3 linked regions of the Oryctolagus cuniculus genome follow. The protein of the gene in region 2 purifies or fractionates together with the protein of the main gene of each other region. This does not show direct contact. Links are inferred from orthologs where the notes say so. Each region holds a gene or a part of one and is shown on either strand. Other genes may lie near its edges. The genes, in order: POLR3K, POLR2H and POLR1D.

Region 1 (2,816 bases), on a different chromosome or scaffold from region 2:
ACCGGCTCCTGCTCTTGCCGTCTGGAGAGTGAAGCGCAGAAGGAAGGTCTCGGCCTTCTGCTTGTTAACTGAGATTTCACTGGTGTTGAGAATCAACGCAGACATTTTCATTTTTACACAGTTCTTAACATGCAAGGCAGAATCTAGGAAGCCTGAATTTTCGTTCTGTTTTCAAAAGTCACTCCAGTCATTTCCAGCTTCAAATTTGGAGGCAGCTCTTCCCATCAAGCACCAGCATCTTCAAGCGTTGATGTGACATAAATCCCGCCCTTTACAGGGTAACATCCTGTATGTGACAGACTCAAAAACGTGAACTAAACCACTAGGGAAAGTGGACCCCCACAGCCAGAGATTGACAGAGCACACGTGGTCTGACAGCAACGCCGGGTGGTTTTCTGTCAGGACAGATGAAATGCACCTTTGCCGTTTAGTATGTGTTGTAGGATATAAAAGCCACCCCCACCTGTGGAGTGTCAAGCTGACGGCCACGACAGCCGAAGCCTCCCATGATGGACTGTGTTGTCTGTCTGTCTGTCTGTATTATTATAATGCTACTATTTTCTGGTTGTATCAAAAAACAAACAACCAGCAAGTGATTTCACCTCTTAAAAATTATTTACACTTGGCCAGTGCCGCGGCTCACTAGGCTAATCCTCCACCTAGCGGCACCGGCACACCAGGTTCTAGTCCCGGTTGGGGCGCCGGATTCTGTCCCGGTTGCCCTTCTTCCAGGCCAGCTCTCTGCTGTGGCCCGGGAGTGCAGTGGAGGATGGCCCAGGTGCTTGGGCCCTGCACCCCATGGGAGACCAGGAGAAGCACCTGGCTCCTGCCTTCAGATAGGCGCGGTGCACCGCTGGCCGCGGCGGCCATGGGAGGGTGAACCAGTGGCAAAAGGAAGACCTTTCTCTCTGTCTCTCTCTCTCACTGTCCACTCTGCCTGTCAAAAAAAAAAAAAAAAAAAGTTTCTAGAGCTACTGAAAAACGTGCATTTAAACAGTAGTTGGTAAATTATTCCTGTGGATTGCACGAGAAGGGAGACAGGCGTCTGATATTAACCAGGGCGTCTGATATTAATCAGACTTGGCTTCTTTCTCTTCCTTCATCAGAGGTCACTCTGCCTTTCAAATAGATCCGTAAATCTTTTAGAAACTATGCATGGACTGGAAACTGTTAGTTTCATTTTCTATGAGCTCTTTGAAATTCTCTTACACAGGCTTTTCAGTACTTACTTCAAAGCTGTTTGAGCCTCTCCCCATTACTCAGTCTCCAGCAGTTTGTTACAGCAGCACCAACCGTGGAGATAGCCCCCTTCCAAGTTACTTCTCTAATCAGTCTCCAGCCAGATGGGAGAGACGCAGGGTCCCAGGACGGGAGGAGTGTTTCACAGGGCACAGGTTCACCTGTCCCTTCAGTGTTCGAGCTTGGTGGGAGTGGAGCCTCTGTTGGTAGTGTCCTTAGTGATCTTACGAAGTGTCCCTCACCAGCATCGTTTTTGTGAAGATTTATCTGTTTGGGGTCAGCGCTGTGGCCCAGCAGGTTAAGCTGCCCCTGCAGCACCAGCTTCCCAGATGGGCGCCGGTTCAAGTTCAGTTGCTTCACTTCGCTTCCAGCTCCCTGCAAATGACCTGAGAAAAGCTGCGGGTGATGGCACAGGTCCTTGGGCCCCTGCTCCCACTTGGGAGACCCAGATGAAGCTCCTGGCTTTGGCCTGGCCCAGCCCTGTCTGTTGTAGCCATTTGGGGATGAACCAACAGGTGGACGTCTGTCTCTCCTTTTCTCTCTAACTCTTTCAAATAAACAAATAACTCTTTTTTAAAGATAAGATTTATTTGGAAGGCAAGATGACAGGGTAGGAGAGAAGGAGACCCTCCAACTGCTGGTTAATTCCCCAGATGTCTGTGATGGCCAAGGCTGGCCAGGCTGAGGCCAGTGCCTGGGTCTCCTGCACAGGTGGCAGTGCCCAGGTACTTGGGCCGTCCTCTGCTGCTCTTGCCCTGCACTAGCAGGGAGCTGGATCCGGAGTGGAGCATCCGGGACTCTAACCAGCGCCCACATAGGATGCCAGTGTCGCAGGCGGTGGCCCCCCACTGTGCCGCCATGCTGGCCCCACCAGCGTCATTTTATGTAATGTGGTTCCCTGGTTGGTTTTTCTCCTTTGCAGAGCCGTGTCCCAAGTGCGAACATCCTCGTGCTTACTTCATGCAGCTTCAGACGCGCTCTGCAGACGAGCCCATGACCACCTTCTACAAGTGCTGCAGCCCCCAGTGCGGGCACCGCTGGAGGGACTAGGGCTGCGCTGGCCCAGCTGTGCCGGTCCCCAGGGTGGACTCCTGGCAAGGAATGTGAGCTGTGTGTCCTAGGGTCTTCGCTGGTGTGGCAGAGAGCGAGCCCTCCTGAGGGCAGGGCCAGGGTGCCAGGAACATCGTCCGTCGGTGGATGAAGTCATCGGGGGCCAGAGAGTCCTCGTGGGCGAAGAGGAGACCCTCACTGTGTGCTCTGCTCGGGGGAGGAGACCCTCGCTGTGCACTGCTCAGGGGAGGAGACCCTCGCTGTCTTCTCTCTGCTGGGGGGAGACCCTCGCTGTGCGCTCTGCTGGGGGGGGGACCCTCGCTGTGTGCTCTGCTGGGGGGAGACCCTCACTGTGCGCTCTGCTGGGGGGGAGGAGACCCTCCTGTGCGCTGCTGGGGGGGAGGAGACCCTCGCTGTCTTCTCTCTGCTGGGGGGAGACCCTCGCTCTGTTCTCTCTGCTGGGGGGTGATGAGACCCTCGCTCTGTTCTCTCTGCTGAGGGGAGGAGACCCTCGCTGTCTTCTCTCT
Region 2 (3,698 bases):
CCGGGCGCTTAGGACTTCGGGCTCGGGGCTGCAGGGCTGCTAATTCGTGAGAGCAGCTGCCTTCTCTGCTGAGGACTGGAGGCCCAGGCGGGCCTGGAAAGGCCCCTCTGCGGGGGATTCGGAGGGCCATTCTGGGCTCCTGCCCTTGCTCGGGGCTAGCCTCAGGAGGTGCCCCTGCAATACCGGACCCGCCGGATTTTGCGGGCAAGGGGACTGGGAAAGAAAGGCCCGAGGGAAGGGAGTTCTAGTGCCTGGAAGGCAGGCGTCGGGGGTGGGGTGGGGTGGGCAGAGGTCGCTTCTCCTGGCAGGGCCCAAGGAAAACCCCAGGAGCTGCTGACGTCTCGCCGCCTTGGGGAAACGGCCTGCTGGGGTTTGGCTTTCTCTATCAGGGTCCGGGGAAGGAGAGAACAGAGGGTGGGGTGAGCACGGGGTGCACGGGCAGCGTTCGAGATAGCGAGCGCAGACGCGGCGTGCAGGAGGGCGGCAGGAGGCCAAGGAAGGGAGGTTGTGGGAGAAGGGGGCCAGCACCCGGGAGGAAGAGACAGGAAAGTGATCCAAGAGGAGGGCAGTGCTGGGGGAACACGCGGCACACGCTGAGGGGGCACTGCTAACGGGTAGGGCAGTGTGAGGGGATTTGTGGCAGGCGGAAGGAGCGAGCAGGGCCCAGGGGAAGAGGGCAGTGGTGGGGGGAGGGTGCAGCGCCAGAGGAGGGCAGTGCCAGCTTTCCTTTCCCCCGGAGTGATATCCTGGACGGCCCCGGCTCAGGTGACGTCCAGCAGGGCCGAGCCAGCCCCCGCCGACCTGGGGGCCCTCGGTGCCAGTTGAGGGACTAGGCATTACGTCCTGCTGGGCTAGCGCTCTGGGGGCGGAGTTTTGTTGCACCCGTCCCCGGCGCGGACTATGCCCTCGGGGGACACGAGGACCGGCAGGGTAGGGCTAGGGCCCGGCTTCTCTGGGGCAAAGATCAAGGTCTCGGCCTGGGTTAAGTCTCCAAGCATTCCAGGCTTCAGGGCCCGGACTCTGGAGAGGGCGAAGCGGAGCCCCAGCGGAGCGCGATAACCCGAGCCACCTCCGCCAGAGGTGGTGCTTGGGGCGTTCCCGCCCTGGGCGGAGTCACCTGGCTCGGAGACACGCCCTCAATGCGTGTTCCCTCGCCAGCAATCTATCGGGGCGGAAGTTGAGAATCCCCGAGGTGGAGGCGGCGGAAGTGGCTGCCGTACTGCAAGCTGGTGCGCATGCGCTTTCCTGCTGCTCTGCCGCCAGCGTTCAGGCGCCTTTTGCTCTAGTGTCTTCTTTTTCCACGCGAGAGTGGGCTAACTCGTAGTTGTGGTCTCGCTCCTCGCGTTTCCGCTGCTCTCGTGGCCCCCTCACGATGGCGGGCATCCTGTTTGAGGACATTTTCGATGTGAAAGACATTGACCCGGAAGGCAAGAAGTTTGACCGAGGTAGGTAAGGTGTGGGGTTTGGCCGAAGAAACTAACTTCCTCGGGACACACCCCTGGGCTCCGGCTCACGTGGCCTGCCCTTGCGGCAGGTCCTGATGTAGGGGCCTCTCCCAGGAGACCTTTTATGGATGAGAAAGCCGAGACGCCGAGCTCTCCCTGGCTGCACACACGCGGTGCCCAGTGCCATGGTGGTGGCAGGCTCCTGGACGTCTCTGCAGTCGCCTCTCACTTACACACATTTTGCCTTATTTAGTGCTCTCGAGAGTTCCCAGGAGGTAGGTGGTGCCTTCCTCTCCTCCTGGAGGGTAAGTTTGCCACCCAAGGCTGCACCGTGGTCAGTCTGACTTATGAGCCCGAATTCTTGTGTGGAGTCGAGTCTCCAGCTGATGTCAGACCCTCTGAGTTAACTGCGCGGTGCAGGCCAGGCGCCCGAGGTGTTTTTCAAGTCTCAGTTATTCAGTGAGATAATCCCCTTAGCATGGGAGAGGACACCTTTGGTTGAAGAAGTCCCTTGCCCAGACCCAGGTTCTAAATCACCCAGGTAGTGCCTAGAACTCTGTCTTTTGCTGCTAGAATATTTTGATTTGGGGGCAGGATTCCATTCATTTGCCATGCTTTTTTAAAAAATTATTATTATTTTTTAAAGATTAATTTTATTTATTTGAAAGAGAGAGAGGTAGAGACAGAGAAAGGTCTTCCATCCTTTGGTTCACTCCCCAGATGGCCACAACGGCTGGAGCTGTGCTGATCTGAAGCCAGGAGCCAGGAGCTTCTTCCAGGTCTCCCACACGGTGCAGGGGCCCAAGGACTTGGGCTATCCTCTACTGCTTTCCCAGGCCACAGCAGAGAGTTGGGTTGGAAGTGGAGCAGCCAGGATATGAACTGGCACCCATATGGGATGCCGGCGCCTTAGGTCAGGGCGTCAACCCACTGCGCCATAGTGCCAGCCCCAATTATTAATTTTTAAAGACTTATTTATTTATATGAAAGGCAGAATTACAGAGAGAGAGAGGGGTCTTTAATCCGTTGGTTCACTGCCCAGATGGCCACAATGGCCGGAGCTGCACTGATCTGAAGCCAGGCTCCTGGAGCTTCTTCCAGGTCTCCCACGTGGGTGCAGGGGCCCAAGGACCTGGGCCATCCTCTTCTGCTTTCCCGGGTGCATTAGCAGGGATTGGAAGTGGAGCAGCTGGGACTTGAACCGGCACCCATATGGGATGCCAGCACTGCAGGTGGGGCTTTGCCCACTAATCCACAATCGCTGGCCCCTGCCATGGTTTTTGTCCTCCATGCATATCTGGTTCTGAGCGAGCCTGCATTTCTCTCTCTCTCTCTCTCTTTTTTTTAAGGTTTGTTTTATTTATTTGAAAGACAGAGATAGGGAGAGACAGTGAAAGAGGTCTTCCATCCACTGCTTCACTCCCCAGGTGGCCTCAGTGCCTGGGGCTGGGTGAAGCCAAAGTGATCTGGGAGCTGGATCAGAAGCAAAGCAGCCTCTTCCAACTGGTGCTCTGATACAGAATGCCCACCTCGTACACAGCAGCTCTGCCCACTGCACTGCAGTGCCTGCACTTTTTTTTTTTTTTTTTTTTTTTTAAGATTTACTTACTTGTTTGAAAGGCAGAGTTACAGAGAGGCAGAGGCAGAGAGAAAGAGAGGTCTTCCATCTGCTGATTCATTCCCCCAAATGGTTGCAATGGCATGGGCTGGGCTGATCCGAAGCCAGGAGCTTCTTCCAGGTCTCCCACATGAGTGCAGGAGCCCAAGGACTTGGACCATCTTCTGCCTTCCCAGGCCATAGCAGAGAGCTGGATCAGAAGTAGAGCAGCAGGGACTCGAACCAGCACTCATTTGGGATGCCAGTGCTGCAGGTGGCGGCTTTACCCAATATGCCCTGTGCCTGCACTTCTGTGAGAGCACATAAGAGGCCAGTGGATGTAGATCAGGTTACATTAAATAGTCGATTGCCTGTAATTCCCAAACTGGGATCTGTCAGATCTGCCTTTGCCCTGGTAATTACATCGTCCGTCTCTCTGCTTCTCCCCAGTGTCTCGACTGCACTGTGAGAGCGAATCTTTCAAGATGGACCTCATCTTAGATGTAAACATTCAGATTTACCCTGTGGACCTGGGTAAGTATTGAACCCAGAGAATCAACAGAGGCTTCTTGCCGTCTCAGCTATTCTTTACGCCCAGATATTGCTGCTGTTTTCAGGTGACAAGTTCCGGTTGGTCATAGCTAGTACCTTGTATG
Region 3 (3,748 bases), on a different chromosome or scaffold from region 2:
AGCGCCGGGCTGAGCGGCCCAACCCGACACGCTGCTGGGCCAATCGGCGGCGCCACAGGGCGGGGAGGGGGCGGATCAGAGGCGGATCCACCTATCAGAGAACGCAGGGGGCGGACCAGGAGGGGCCGTCATTCCTAGGTTAGAGTGAACCTACTCCGTCCCTCGCCCCTCGCCCTCCCCCACCCGCCTGGGGCTGTCCCCGCCGCTCGCCTGATTCCTCTGTGGAAGGCGCTCGGCAAGTGTGTGAGCGAGCGCCGGGCAGCCGCGGGGACAGCGGGACAGCTGAGCAGGGGACGCACGGAGCGGGGTGGGGGGAGGTCGAGGGGAACAGGTGGCGCGGGAGAGCAGGCGTGTAGGTGTGCTGGGCGAGAGGACAGCCGGGGTAGAGGGCAGCGACCGGGGCTGGCCGGCGTTAGAGAGGTTGCGGGAGCCGGGGGTGAGCAGCGGGGAGCAGCACTGAACACTCCCAGAGAGGAAGGGGCCGGAGAGGGAACCCCGCCGAGGAAAGGCTGCCGAAGCGGGGTAGGGGACGCCTGGGAACAAAGATGAGAGGGAGGTTCCCCGGGGGTGGGGTGCAGAAGGGGTAAAGAAAAGGGTGGAAGGGAGGTGCATGGCCGGGGGAAGGAAAGGACGGGGTGGGTGAGTGTGCTCCCAAACTCCCACTTCTCCCCTAAGGAAAACGGTAAACGCTTGTCCTGTGTCCCGGGGGAGATGCTTAGCTGCAAGAACCCCACTGAGTACTGTCTTGAAGCACCACGTTCTGTTAACGAGACTCAGCCCCTCCTATTTAAGGACGGTATAGCCCAAGCCTGCGGTCCCACAAGAGGTTGGATTCCCGGGAGGCCACAGGGTTCCAGTCGAGTCTAGCAGGCCGGACTTGGGTCCCAAGAAGGGAGGTGATGTGGGGGCGGCAGGTAAGGCCCTGCCCCCTTCGCCACCAGTTGGGGAGACGGTACCAAAGGTGGAGCTCGGGCGCACGCACTGTGACCGGGGCCTCCGGGTGCGACGCCAGCGGGCCCTCCGCCGCCCTCCTCCCGGCTCGCCCCGCACGCCGCCAGGCTGGGGGCGCGCCAGGTGAGCGGCTCGGGCCCGGCGCCACCGCCCTCCTCGCGCCGGGGGCGGGGCCGGGGGCGGAGCCTCCACGTCCCGCCCAGCGCCCGGACCCTGCCGCGCCGCTGCGGCTCCTCCTCCCTCCTTCCGTCGCCGCCTTCTTCCGTCCGTCGTTCCTTCCTTCCTGCCTCAGCCGCTCAGCTCGCGGCATGGGGCAGAGCCTCCGATCGGCCAGCACCACCTGAGGATCCTGGAACCGGCACCCGCGATGGAGGACGACCAAGAGCTGGAGAGGTAACGGCCGAGAAGGCGGGCGGGGCGGGCGGAGTAGGCCGCGCCCAGGCAGGGGAGCGGGCGGTACCGGGCACGCGGCCCGGCCCGGGCCTAACCTCCGCGGCCCTGCAGAGCAGCAGGGGCCCGACCCGGGACGCTGAGAGAGGGAACAGGGCCCGACGGGGAGGAGAAGGGAGGAGTCGTGGATGTGTTTGAATAGAGGCGCTCCGAGGGACAGTAGTTCTCGAGGAGGGCGGACCAGTTGGCAGAGCAGAGTTGGGTCCCGAAACTGCCCAACCCCGTTAGAACAGCGGCGTATTCAGTCCGGCTTAAGCCCCCCCGTCACTACCGCTCTCCCTCCTCCTCCGTGCAGACTGTTAGCCGTGTAGCCCTGCCTCAAAGCGCTGAGTTCTGTTTCTCCCTCCCGCTGTACTGTTTCAGCTCTTACCGTTTCCTAGCTTCCTTACCTCTTGCAAGTGGAAGCCATAGTTGGGCCTGCACATTGATAATCTGTAGTCTCTGTTTATATGCTGGAGCAATCTTGTGTTTTTCTACACCTTCAACTCCCTTTTCCTCTTCCAGCAGGGCTCACCCTATGCTATATCCCTTTCTTGTGACTCTTCCAAAAGAAATGTCTTTGCAGACACTTAAGTGTATGTTTTTCTAAGAAGATGCTCCGTGTGGCCCACGTGGATAGTTAATGGAGCAGGGAGAAACTGGAGTCAGCAAATTAAATATTCATTGGTAGAAGTGGTGGAGGCAGAAAAGAGAGAGGCTGACAGTTCTGTGTGTAATTGCTGTGGATTAGAGTAATGATGTGTGGCAATTGTGATATAGTAAATGAAAAAAAAAGCTAGTTACAATATTCAGTATGATCTCACTTTTATAAAAAATATGTGTGTAGAAAAATGTCTGGATTGAAGACCTCAATGGCCGAAGGCGAGAGGAAGACAGCCCTGGAAATGGTCCAGGCAGCTGGAACAGATAGACACTGTGTGACATTTGTTTTGCACGAGGAGGACCATACCCTAGGAAATTCTCTGCGTTACATGATTATGAAGAACCCGGAAGTGGAATTTTGTGGTTACACTACGACCCATCCTTCAGAGAGCAAAATTAATTTGCGCATTCAGACTCGAGGTGCTCTTCCAGCTGTTGAGCCATTTCAGAGAGGGCTGAATGAGCTCATGAATGTCTGCCAACATGTGCTTGACAAGTTTGAGGCCAGCATAAAGCACTATAAGGATCAAAAAGCAAGCAGAAGTGAATCCACATTCTAGTCCCTTGTGCAGGATACAAGGAGGACTAATCTCTGGGATACTCTTCTTCATGATTGTGCAGAACCCAGAATTAGAAGTTTGTGATTACAACAACCTGCTCTATCTTTCCAAAAAAAAAAAAAAAAAATGGTTCTAGCTGTTGACCCATTCATCACAGCTGTTGGAATCCCCGCAAGAACCTGTGTATTCTCCTAATAAATTCCCTCTTTTATTGAAACTATTTTTGAGTGGTTTCTGTTCCTTGCAACATCCTCAAGGATGACTTTATTTGCTTGCAGTAGAGCCAACATTTAAAGTGATAAAACAGAGCATCAGGCACCCAAAATAGTGGTTTCATCATGGGAATCAAAAGGAGTATACATTCCTGACTAGGATTGGGGTGGTGAGGCAAAGAGGAGATGGAATAGACCATTACGCAGATAGACTGGTGGGTTTCAAAAAGAAAGAAGGTCAGGATGTGGACTTGGCTTCTTAGATATTTTACTGATGAGAAAGTTGTATCCTTTTCTCTTAGGGGATTGGGTAAGGTTAGGGAATAATTTGAAAGAATTTTGAGAATTCTGGTTTCACATGAGGGTCTCAGGAGTTATCCAGCTCCATCTTTGTACCATCTATAGAATAATTGTTTACTGCCTGAGGAGAAACCTGGAATGAGCAAATTACATTTTTAGTCTAAGTAGGTATCCAACTGTAGCCTAGGGTCATATAGAAGAAACACTATTTGAGAGAAAGGACACAGAGGGAAAATACCATGTGGAGAAAATGACTTGGAAAACTTGAAATATTAGTGAAATCACATCCAAGAGCCATTGTATCTGTCTACATCTTCAACATCTTTCATACCAGTCATACCAGAACTTCCTTCTTCAATTATCCTAAATACCTGTCAACCCTAGAGCCTGAGCACTCCCATATCCCAATGCACTGTGCTTTGGGGCCTTAGTTGATCCTATTTATTCGTGTGATCCTGGGACCTAGCACAACACTGGACAGCAGGTGGACACTTAGTAAATATGAGATGAATCCCTGTAGGTAGTTATGGCATGTTAGCTTTTCAGTAACTCTTAGTTGAGCTGCCCTAGAGCCTCTTTAAAGATATTTATTTATAGAGCTTCTGGTTTGTACCTTGGGGATAGGTATAATAG

Evidence for each region.
Region 1: the proteins of POLR2H (region 2) and POLR3K purify together in Homo sapiens (affinity purification with mass spectrometry; 3 studies listed by BioGRID and IntAct, with this or other methods). This does not show direct contact. The link is inferred for Oryctolagus cuniculus from reciprocal best matches to the Homo sapiens genes POLR2H and POLR3K.
Region 3: the proteins of POLR2H (region 2) and POLR1D purify together in Homo sapiens (affinity purification with mass spectrometry; 4 studies listed by BioGRID and IntAct, with this or other methods). This does not show direct contact. The link is inferred for Oryctolagus cuniculus from reciprocal best matches to the Homo sapiens genes POLR2H and POLR1D.

The regions. Positions count from the first base shown.
Region 1 is NC_091450.1:34,577,121-34,579,936, forward strand, and holds the end of POLR3K (DNA-directed RNA polymerase III subunit RPC10), read left to right. Parts: intron 1-2,161; coding exon 2,162-2,289; downstream 2,290-2,816. UniProt on the Homo sapiens protein: Core component of RNA polymerase III (Pol III) which synthesizes small non-coding RNAs using the four ribonucleoside triphosphates as substrates. Can mediate Pol I proofreading of the nascent RNA transcript.
Region 2 is NC_091435.1:93,932,371-93,936,068, forward strand, and holds the start of POLR2H (DNA-directed RNA polymerases I, II, and III subunit RPABC3), read left to right. Parts: upstream 1-861; 5' UTR 862-1,372; coding exon 1,373-1,445; intron 1,446-3,492; coding exon 3,493-3,576; intron 3,577-3,659; coding exon 3,660-3,698. UniProt on the Homo sapiens protein: DNA-dependent RNA polymerase catalyzes the transcription of DNA into RNA using the four ribonucleoside triphosphates as substrates.
Region 3 is NC_091440.1:86,895,714-86,899,461, reverse strand, and holds the start of POLR1D (protein POLR1D), read left to right. Parts: upstream 1-1,165; 5' UTR 1,166-1,318; coding exon 1,319-1,344; intron 1,345-3,748.